2 linked regions of the Schizosaccharomyces pombe genome follow. The protein of the gene in region 2 interacts with the protein of the main gene of each other region in a biochemical or structural test. Each region holds a gene or a part of one and is shown on either strand. Other genes may lie near its edges.

What was found. The genes of interacting proteins can lie anywhere in the genome.
Region 1: the proteins of orc5 (region 2) and orc3 form a complex in vitro, tested with the Schizosaccharomyces pombe proteins (3 studies listed by BioGRID).

Annotation. Positions count from the first base shown.
Region 1 is NC_003424.3:1,928,217-1,933,180, forward strand, and holds orc3 (origin recognition complex subunit Orp3), read right to left. Parts: upstream 3,088-4,964; 5' UTR 2,949-3,087; coding exon 2,913-2,948; exon of another isoform or gene 2,869-2,912; coding exon 832-2,868; 3' UTR 555-831; downstream 1-554. Other genes in the region: SPOM_SPAP14E8.05C (uncharacterized protein), read right to left, coding at 1-107; sdd3 (metallopeptidase), read right to left, coding at 3,372-4,964.
Region 2 is NC_003423.3:951,834-956,092, forward strand, and holds orc5 (origin recognition complex subunit Orc5), read right to left. Parts: upstream 2,485-4,259; 5' UTR 2,444-2,484; coding exon 2,087-2,443; exon of another isoform or gene 2,034-2,086; coding exon 1,959-2,033; exon of another isoform or gene 1,919-1,958; coding exon 983-1,918; 3' UTR 501-982; downstream 1-500. Other genes in the region: protein sds23, read left to right, coding at 1-274; Pex16 family peroxisome import protein, read right to left, coding at 3,368-3,381, 3,424-3,536, 3,602-4,159, 4,204-4,259. UniProt on the Schizosaccharomyces pombe protein: Component of the origin recognition complex (ORC) that binds origins of replication. It has a role in both chromosomal replication and mating type transcriptional silencing.

The sequences.
Region 1 (4,964 bases), on a different chromosome or scaffold from region 2:
GCCGTTCCCGCGATTAATGATACTTTGCTTTTTTTGCGCAAATATCCTATTAGACCACCTACGGTCAAGAGAAAACTTAAAACTAAAGCGTTTTGATCAGGTGTCATTGTATACTTTTGAAAATTTGAAGGTGTCTAGCAGCTTGTTTGTAGTCGAAAACAGACTTCGTATGCGCACATACTCAACAGTGTAACTTAGGGCGCTATCCATGTTCGTTCATTCGTGAGAAACGTCACAATATAAGTAGCAATAAATCTGGGGCTAAAATAAATATCATTGCCATTGAGACAAATTCCCAAAATTTATATTATGTAATTCATTATGTATCGTTATAGAAGAACAATACAGGTGTGGGATAAAAAAACAAAATAAAGTAAGTTTTTATGAGTTGATCTTTTTCTTTATAATGCGAATTATTTGCGAAATACTGAATCCGAAGTTGCTAACCGCCAGTTTATATATCACAATACTACGATTAATGGTTTATAGGCTGGTCTACGAGCAATATGGAACACAACAAATTATCTTTGATCTGACGACTTCTTAGCTAGAATAGAATATTTGTAATAAATATGATAAGCACCGAAATCTGACAGATTATCAGATTCCAATTTTCGAGCGTGCTATTGTTTCTATCGGTATAGGTAGCCAACAGAGAAAGAACATATTTTCAATTTAATCAAAAGACAAAGTGCTCAAAATGAGATATACATTTAATTGTTTACAAAAAGTAGGCTTCTTGGGAGAACCTAAAAGACTTGAATACAGAGAAAAAAGTGAGTTGCTAGCATTTTTAAGTAGCAAGGTTATACACAATTTATATTTCGCACCTTACTGATGATAAATAGTTTTCATGACATGATCAGTTTTGCGAGCGGTAGGTTTGATAAGCCCTAAAAACCTCAATTCTTCTAAACCAAACAAAAATCGAGATTGTAGCTTTGCTTCTTCGAGTTTTCTTTTATCCTCATCTAGTTCATTCAATTCTCTTTGCAGATTCCCCTGAGGTGATTCTCGTGGATGGTTATCATCCTCTTTCAAGTTTTCTTTTCCAGCTTGCAGATGCTCTGAAAATGCTATGTACCAATCGTACAAATTAAGCAATGCACCAGATTCACTATATAACTTATAAAGGATAGATAAATCTGGAAGCCAGGATATCAAATCTTTTCCATCTTTTTCAGCGTTAGAAAACTCGCTGTCAATTTTCTTTTCATCTCCTACATAATACTCTGGATCCATGCACGAACTATGAATCACACTTCTTTGATGTCCTGAAGCAAATGCTTGATTCAACGGTCGACAGTAATCATAAAATAGCACTTCGTAAAAGGGATACATATCAATAGATTCAGTACCCAAGCATCCATATTGAACTTCTTCGTCCAATAATCCTACAATTTTCTTCAAAATTTTAGAAAAGTCAATTATGCTTTTATCAAAGCCAGATTCAACAACTTTTCTTGTATGCTTTGTTCCACTATAGTTTTGCATTCGAACCTCGACGGGCTCTAAGTAATTAGTTGAAGAGTTGCGAATGAGTTCAGAAAGCTCCTGGTGAATTTCTAAGCACTTCATAGTTTGATTTCCAGTAAATATGTTTTCATTTAAATAATCCAGACAAGCCAAGGCTTTGGTAGAATTCATTCTTAAAATTGCCTGACATATACTTTTGTACTGAGGACTTGATAGCCAGTCCCCTTGCAAAAATGTCTCTAAATAATCAGCAAATGAAATTCTAGTCGTTGTTTTCACAGCCATTTCTAATTCGTGCCAAATTTTAGCTTGGGTGCGCAGTAAACGCTCCCGATATAATAAATTCTCGCACATTTGAATGACCATCTCTTGAAAGTAGGTATCATCATTCAACATTTTCTCGACATAGTTAATGCTTTCCAAATCTCCAATTTCCAGACGCTGTTCAATGTGCCGCTGAAAACTAGGAACTGTTCTTAGAGTGGTTAAATGAAGAGGGGATATTAAATGAAAGTCTTTTTGATATATCAAATGCTCTATAATACTCAAAGCGTTTCCATAAAAGTGAGTTAGAATACTATAGCGAATGCATTCAATAACTCTCTCAACACTCCATGAACGCTCGTAAAACATCGAGCGAAAAAATCTCCGAGTCCGCCAGCCAAATTTTAAACTCAAACTCTCCTCAATCGAGGTAAAGAGGCTTTCAAGAATTTCCGTGCTTGCCTTCATGTTAAAAACCTTGGTTTTAACATTGCTAAGGAATTTTGAATCGAGGGATGTATCAAACATTTCAAGCGGTATTTTTAAATTAAAAATTGTGTATAAGCATCCTTGTAACTTTGAATGTCGGACGAGTGAGCTAAGTGCTTCCACAAGAGAAGATAAAAGACGCCGATCACAATCTTCTACATCTTCCAATACCAACACGGTCTTTTCATCAAGTTTTTCAATGTCATACGAAAGGACACCTAGTCCAAATGATCCACCTTTTATTACTCGAAAACATGATTTCAAATCACGATGAGCTTTCAGATTTAACACAACAAAGTTTTTCCACCCAATTTTTTCCATATCGTCTTTAAGTTGCTCGTAAAACTTTAGGTGCATCGAGTTGCTACTCTTATCACAAACGATTGCAGTTCGAAGTAACCCAGTTTCATCTACTGGCTCTGATGCATGTTCACACAATTGTCTCAAAACTCTGGCGTTACTATCATATGTAGTGTGAGTTGTAATTTCTTCTAACTCATTTAACACTTTCGTACAGAGATTTTCTCTTAATTTTACGTATTCTATAGGTTCTTTACCTCCTATCAAAGGAACAAAAAGGCCTTCACTAAACTCATTTCCCAGGCTCTCTGTTGGCTTGGGTTTCACTGAATAAGTTCCCTAAACAATTTAGTTAGATAAAATACTGAAAAAATTCCACTTACTTTACTGACTGAATCATATTGTAGTATTGCTGACATATTAATTTGATATTGTAGAGAAAAAGCCAGATGACTAGCAAATTTAGTATTTGAGTTTACTCTGTTTGCGTGTCACAAATTATTAGCATTATTTCATTTAATTAGGTCTTAATTTGAATCATTAACAAGTGGTTGTCACAAGAGCACCGTTCTGAAAATGGGTACCTTAGAAAGCGTAGTAAGTGCAGAAAGCACTTTGCTAGTTTGTTTTGATGCTTCGAGTTAATAGAATGAGTCGACAGACGTTTGTAGGACTAAAAAAGAATACGAATATACACATATATTTTCATACATCGAAGAATTATTTGATTTGTTGGTATAAGTCTTTTTTTTATTTTCATTAATCATGAGTCAAAGTTTAAGGAATTTTATAAAATATCATTTTTTAAATAAAATAAAAATTTTGGTTGAGTTCACGCCTCATTAATTGTCATCATTTCCTCCTACCGATAAGTCATCTTCGGATTCTGATTCAATTCCTTGAATTTCATGCAGACTTTCAACATTCACATTGAAGCCTTCCTCTGTGAACTGTTCAACAGTTTGTTCGATCTTAGCTAAGGAAGAAGTGATAACAGCTAAGTTATTGCTGGATGAGAAGAACGGTAAACAATAAATTTTTAAACCCTCTAAAAATTGTTGTAATGTGACCTGCTTTACTTTTTCTAAAAATTTATGATCTTCATCTTTGTTTAGACCTTTGATAGATAACAAAGTAAACGAGTTTTTTGATGAGTAAATTGCGTTGTTTTCAAGCTCCGATACTATGCTATAAGATACACATTTGGCAGATTCCAAATCAAAACTACTAACTTGCACCTCACCAGATATTAGCGATTTTACAAGATCGCGACTTGAAGCCCATGCTTTATAGACATCAGGGGAGGTGTTAATACAATAATAAAGCACACCACCATCCACATCAATTGACATATTAAATCCGTAAGCAAGGCCAGAACCACGAATGGTATTCCAAAAAGGGCCATCCATCAACCCTAGATAATTTGCAATCAAGACGATAACTGGAAGTGACGGATCAAGCCAGCTGGTAATACCTGGAATAGAAAATACCAAATCACTACTCTCGTTTGACGGCATCGGAATAACGGTAAGGGAACTGCTACTTCCAAATTCTTGAGGCTTTAAATAGTTCTTAGAGAAAGTCGAAAGAAACTCCATATTTGGATTCCGGTGGCATTCGCTATCAAGTAACTTATTCCATGTACTTATTGGCTGAGGTAATTTTAAAATGTCACCAATTACATGAATACGAATGGCTTGATGCTGTAACATGTAATTTCTCATTTTTTGAAAGGCATCAAAAATTGATGAATGATCATTCTGTAACTTATCCCGTAATTCGCGAAGAATTTTCTCTTGACTTAAGGTATTTAGGCTGTACTTCAATGAGCAATCATTGTATAGACGGATATCGAAATATGATGGTAATATAAATTCTGCGTCACGTTTTTGAAAAGGAATGTCGGCCAGTTGCTGATTTATTACTGATAACATTCTTTCTCTATCCCATACCGTTTTGGCTAATAAATTTCGTATCCAATAAACTCCTTTTTCGTAATTTTCACGAGTGACCTTTATTTCTATAGAAAGCAGTTCACGTTTAGTTTCATAATAAGCGTAACCACAAGATGATGTGTCAAAACTAAGCGAAACATTGAGTGATACAGTGTCACGCTCAAGTTGCTTGACGACTTCGTGATAGGGTGTAGGTATGGTACCTGAGAGCAAGGCCGGAGCAGCTTCTATATATTTAGCAAATACAGAAAGATATGGTTTCAAACTTGAAGGAATCATAGAGGTGTCGATATACGTTGCAAGTTGGACAAAGGAACTATCAATATGATCGAACTGGATGAAAGGGTTTTCTGAAGAAACATCAGTGTCTATATAAGTTTGGACTTCATTGTCAAAAGGTTGACCTGCGGAACGAGTCCTAGCAGTCGTAGATGAGTAAAACCGAATACTCTCTGGATCACTTATCCTGAAGCTTGAAAT
Region 2 (4,259 bases):
ATGTCATCGTCTTTGGCTTGTGCAGTCACCTTCCTGCCCTCCTTCCCCAAAAAATAACGCACATCTTTCCCCTGGATCCATGGGTGGTGTTAAGGTCAATCAATTGTTGGGCGTTGTTAGCTTAACTGATATCATATCTGTTTTATATGCTCACATGAAAGGCACTCTTCCACCCGCTCCCCATAGTGCTCCTTCGCTTAGACATGGACGTCGAGGAAGCACAAGCAGCCATCGTAGCCATAGCAAAGCTAGTGTAGATACACAACGTCGGTGATGCTAAATATTTGATGATTTGAAACACCCTTTTTTCTTTTTCTCATTTGAACCTCCGTTTTATTTCATCTTTTACTGTTACCTCTAACATTCCATATTTCATGAACGGGTTTTGATACTTATTTTTAATCATCTTTAAATGGATAAGATTTTGGTTAAATCTCCAATGATTTCTTATTAACCATTAAAAATATACTTTTACTTATGTTTTGACGTTAACTGACGGACGCTTTTCTTTATACATATGTTCTTATTAATGAATTGTCTCCCGTTGTTGATTTACACGGCAGCAGAGTAGCTCTTTCAGAGGGTTAACTTTTATATCAGAGTTATGATTGAAACTTTGCCTCTTGATATATATTATGTATCCATCTTAGCAGCACATTACTTTATTTTTTTGTCAAGAGTGTTTTCGGCGCTAGTTTTTGCTTTTTACAGCTTTGCCAACTTCCATAATGTTAAATACGTAACAGTTTACACAGAATCACAGAGGCGTAATCGAATTGTTTGTAGTGTACATTTTCTTTTATTTTCCAGAAGTAACAAAAAAAAATATGTTTTTTAAGTTTTGGGCCCTTTAAACAGTAAAATAACATGTTATGGGGAGATAGAATGGATGTTCATATAGTTCTGTATAAATTAATGAATTGTGACAGAACTACGATATTCAAAATTTCAGTAATGCAATAAAATAAACCATAATACTAAGCTATCCCGCCAAATAACTATCGAGAGGAAACGAAAGTGAATCTGCGATTTTTAATACATATTCGCGAGAGACATTGACAATGTATCTAGGGCTATCCAAAGAGCGAAGCACACCTTTGGAAGCCGAAAGTATCATTTTTAAGGAGGCGAGTGTAGCTATTTGAACAAAAACATCAGCGGTCAGAACTTTCTCTACCGGGGAAGAAATGGCATAATAAATAGCAATCAACCTTTCTACTTCAAAAGGTTTAGGTCCTAATGTAAGTTGGGATATTTTTACAGCAGACCGGCCTTTGCTCCCAGCGGTTCTTGGTATTTTGGAAAATAAAACCCCTTCATCTTGAATTTGTTTACGTTTTCTTCCACGTCGTTTCGAAGTTTTAGAAAATGAAAAAAATTGGGCGTCTAACCGGCTTGGATTATAAGATGCTAGGAATGCAGAAACGAGTAAATATTTGGAAACGAGCGACAAGTTAATAGATTTGGAATCAAGAAGATTTTTTATTTCAGTCGGGTTGATTATGTGAAGTCTTTTAGTAACCGTAGCATCTGACACTAAAAAGTTTTTAGCCAGCTTGTGAAGTTGAGCATAATCAGCAGGATGTATGTCTCCTTCAACTATAGGTTGAATGAACTTTGGCCAATATCTATCCAAAACACTACGAAAAGACCTATAGTCATTTAAGCACTGCACTCCAAAAACACTCCAAAGAAACGAGCAATATTGCATCCAGACGCTGAGCTCAATTTCGTCTTCAAAAACACTATCGCCAGATCTATCCAAAAAATCTAAATTAGGAGGTGTTTTTTGGCATATCTCTAATATTTCCGCTTGGGTATATTGTGGGAAAAAAATCACTGCAATAGACAATGTTCCCAAGTATTGAGCAGGGTGAGAATGAAGTACAAAAATGATTGACAGATTGGGAATGTTTGCCTAAAATAGTTAATCAGTGGGTCTGTAAATATTTACTTACAACAATCGGAAGCTGAGCTAATTGTGAGAATAGAATAGTAGAAGCCTCAGCGAAATCATCTATTTGATCCAGCACCTATAACTCATATTAGTATTTAAGAGTAATAAAATAGGAGAGGAACTAAGTACCAAAAATGTATGATAGTCCCTTTTGGACATTGCCTGTTCCAGTAAATAAATAAATCCACTGATATTAATGCCTTTTTTTAATGCTATATCTTTGTCAACACCGACTTTTATAAGGATCCGGTACCAGAAATGAGCGACTGTAAAACAGTCTTGCAAATTAATCCAAACATTTTCTTCTTTTGACAAATCAAAAGCGGTCCGCAATAAAAAAGTCTTTGCTGTACTAGCAACTCCGTAAAGCACAATGCTTGGAACACGACAATCCTTATTAAAAAGTAAACATGAAAGTTTCTTTATTTGATCTTCCCTGCAAAAGACATTCTTTTTTAATTCGTCTTCCAACTGATACAAATGCATTTCATGGCAATATGCTTATGCTTTGGCATATGGTGTCGTGCAGTGAAACATTCATCGCTCGAAGCAAAAACTAGTGGACTAATTTATACAAATAAACGAAAGGTAATTAATGGAAAACGAAGAATAATATTCGTACATTTCAAATACAATTTAAACTTTGGAATTATTGAAATCTTAATTGATTGTTTACTATAAGCGTTGTACTTGGTTCAAGGTGTATTTTATTGAGAAGCCTTGTCGTAACAAAATGTGCTTAAACAGTTATTCTAAAATAGAATTATAAAATTTTATTTTTTGTAATATATTTGATTAATAGTAGTAAAGAACAGAAGTTCGTTTCGCTTGAGTTATTAGAAGTTTTCTTTCTCCTAGCTAATTCACTTTCAATACTAACTTCTTCACCGCTAATGCATAGCCAAAATTATTTTTGAATAAATGGCCTAGTGCGGAGTACGTAGAATTAAATATTGCTTAGATTTAATTTGTAATCTAGCCGTTAACTGTTTTAAGTATGTTATTAAAAAAATCAAAATGCATTTTTTAGTAATTGATATGAACTCATCATAATATCCGAATTTCAGTGTATTACATCTTTTCCTTTGTCTGAATTTAACACAGCATTCTTTAGTTGTGAAATTTAAAGTCTTATTTAAACCTTACATATCTGCACCGCAGATTTCAGATACTGATTGACTCATGTATGGATAACGTTGCTAATCTTCGTAGCATGCAATGTTGAAGCTTTTGCTTTATTTTCGATAAAAGTGTACTGAGTTTTATAGAAGAATGAAGACTAATCATCAAAGCAACAAAAGACGTAGTAGATAAATGAAATACTAACAATACTGAAATCAAGAGAGAGAAAAACACCGAGTTAAATAAATAAGAAAAGGATTTCTATAGGTTCTGGTCATCAAGGCTTCCTTAATAGTTTCTAACTGAATGAAAGGTTAGTAGCAGTAAAAATATCAATATCATACCAGAGGATATATAATTTTCGAGACTTTTTTGTCTTTCCTCAACTGAAAGAAGTAGATATTTACCAAAAACGGGTATTGAATTAACCCAGCTTAGGGAACGATTTATCCAGTGTCTAAATTAGTTAGTGAGTTGAAAAACGACATTTTGTTATAAAAACCTTTCAAATAAATTACATACTTGGTAAACTCATCATAAAATCGTCCTTGAGTAAACGCCCAAACCACAAAATGCTGAAACTGACTTTGATTTGTCCGGCGTTCTAGTCCAAACCCCTGGCGACTAGAAGTCGCTGATTCACATCTTCGATCAATTAATTGAGAAATAACTTCAAAAACAAACGCTACAATCCAAGGCCCCCAAGGTCGAACTTTAAGAGAACTCGATTTTTGCTTTCTTTTCCAATGCCACATAAACAACATATAGATAAGCGGACGACAAACTTTAATAAAATTAGAAAAAATCCGTAGATTGGGAAGTCTTTTTGTAAAAATCTCATCTGGTAGAATTGAAGAAAGACGTGGAGTTCGGTTTTGCAAGAAGTCAAGCGATGAATTGACTGTATTAAGTCTGGGAACAACTTTCTTGGAGTTTTTTAACACAACAGCACTTCCTGAATTAGAGTATTTCTTGTGAAGATGAATGAAAGTCTTTACATTGAAATCGCGCTGCAATACAGGATTAGAGAGCGGAAGATCACCTCCAGTAGTCCACATAATGTGAACCCGAAGTAAAAATCTAATATTTGTTAACAATTTTAATCGAAAAGTAGATTTCCGTACTTGACTGATTCCAAGAATAGGACAGAATCATACTGTCTTGATGGATTGTATTTAGA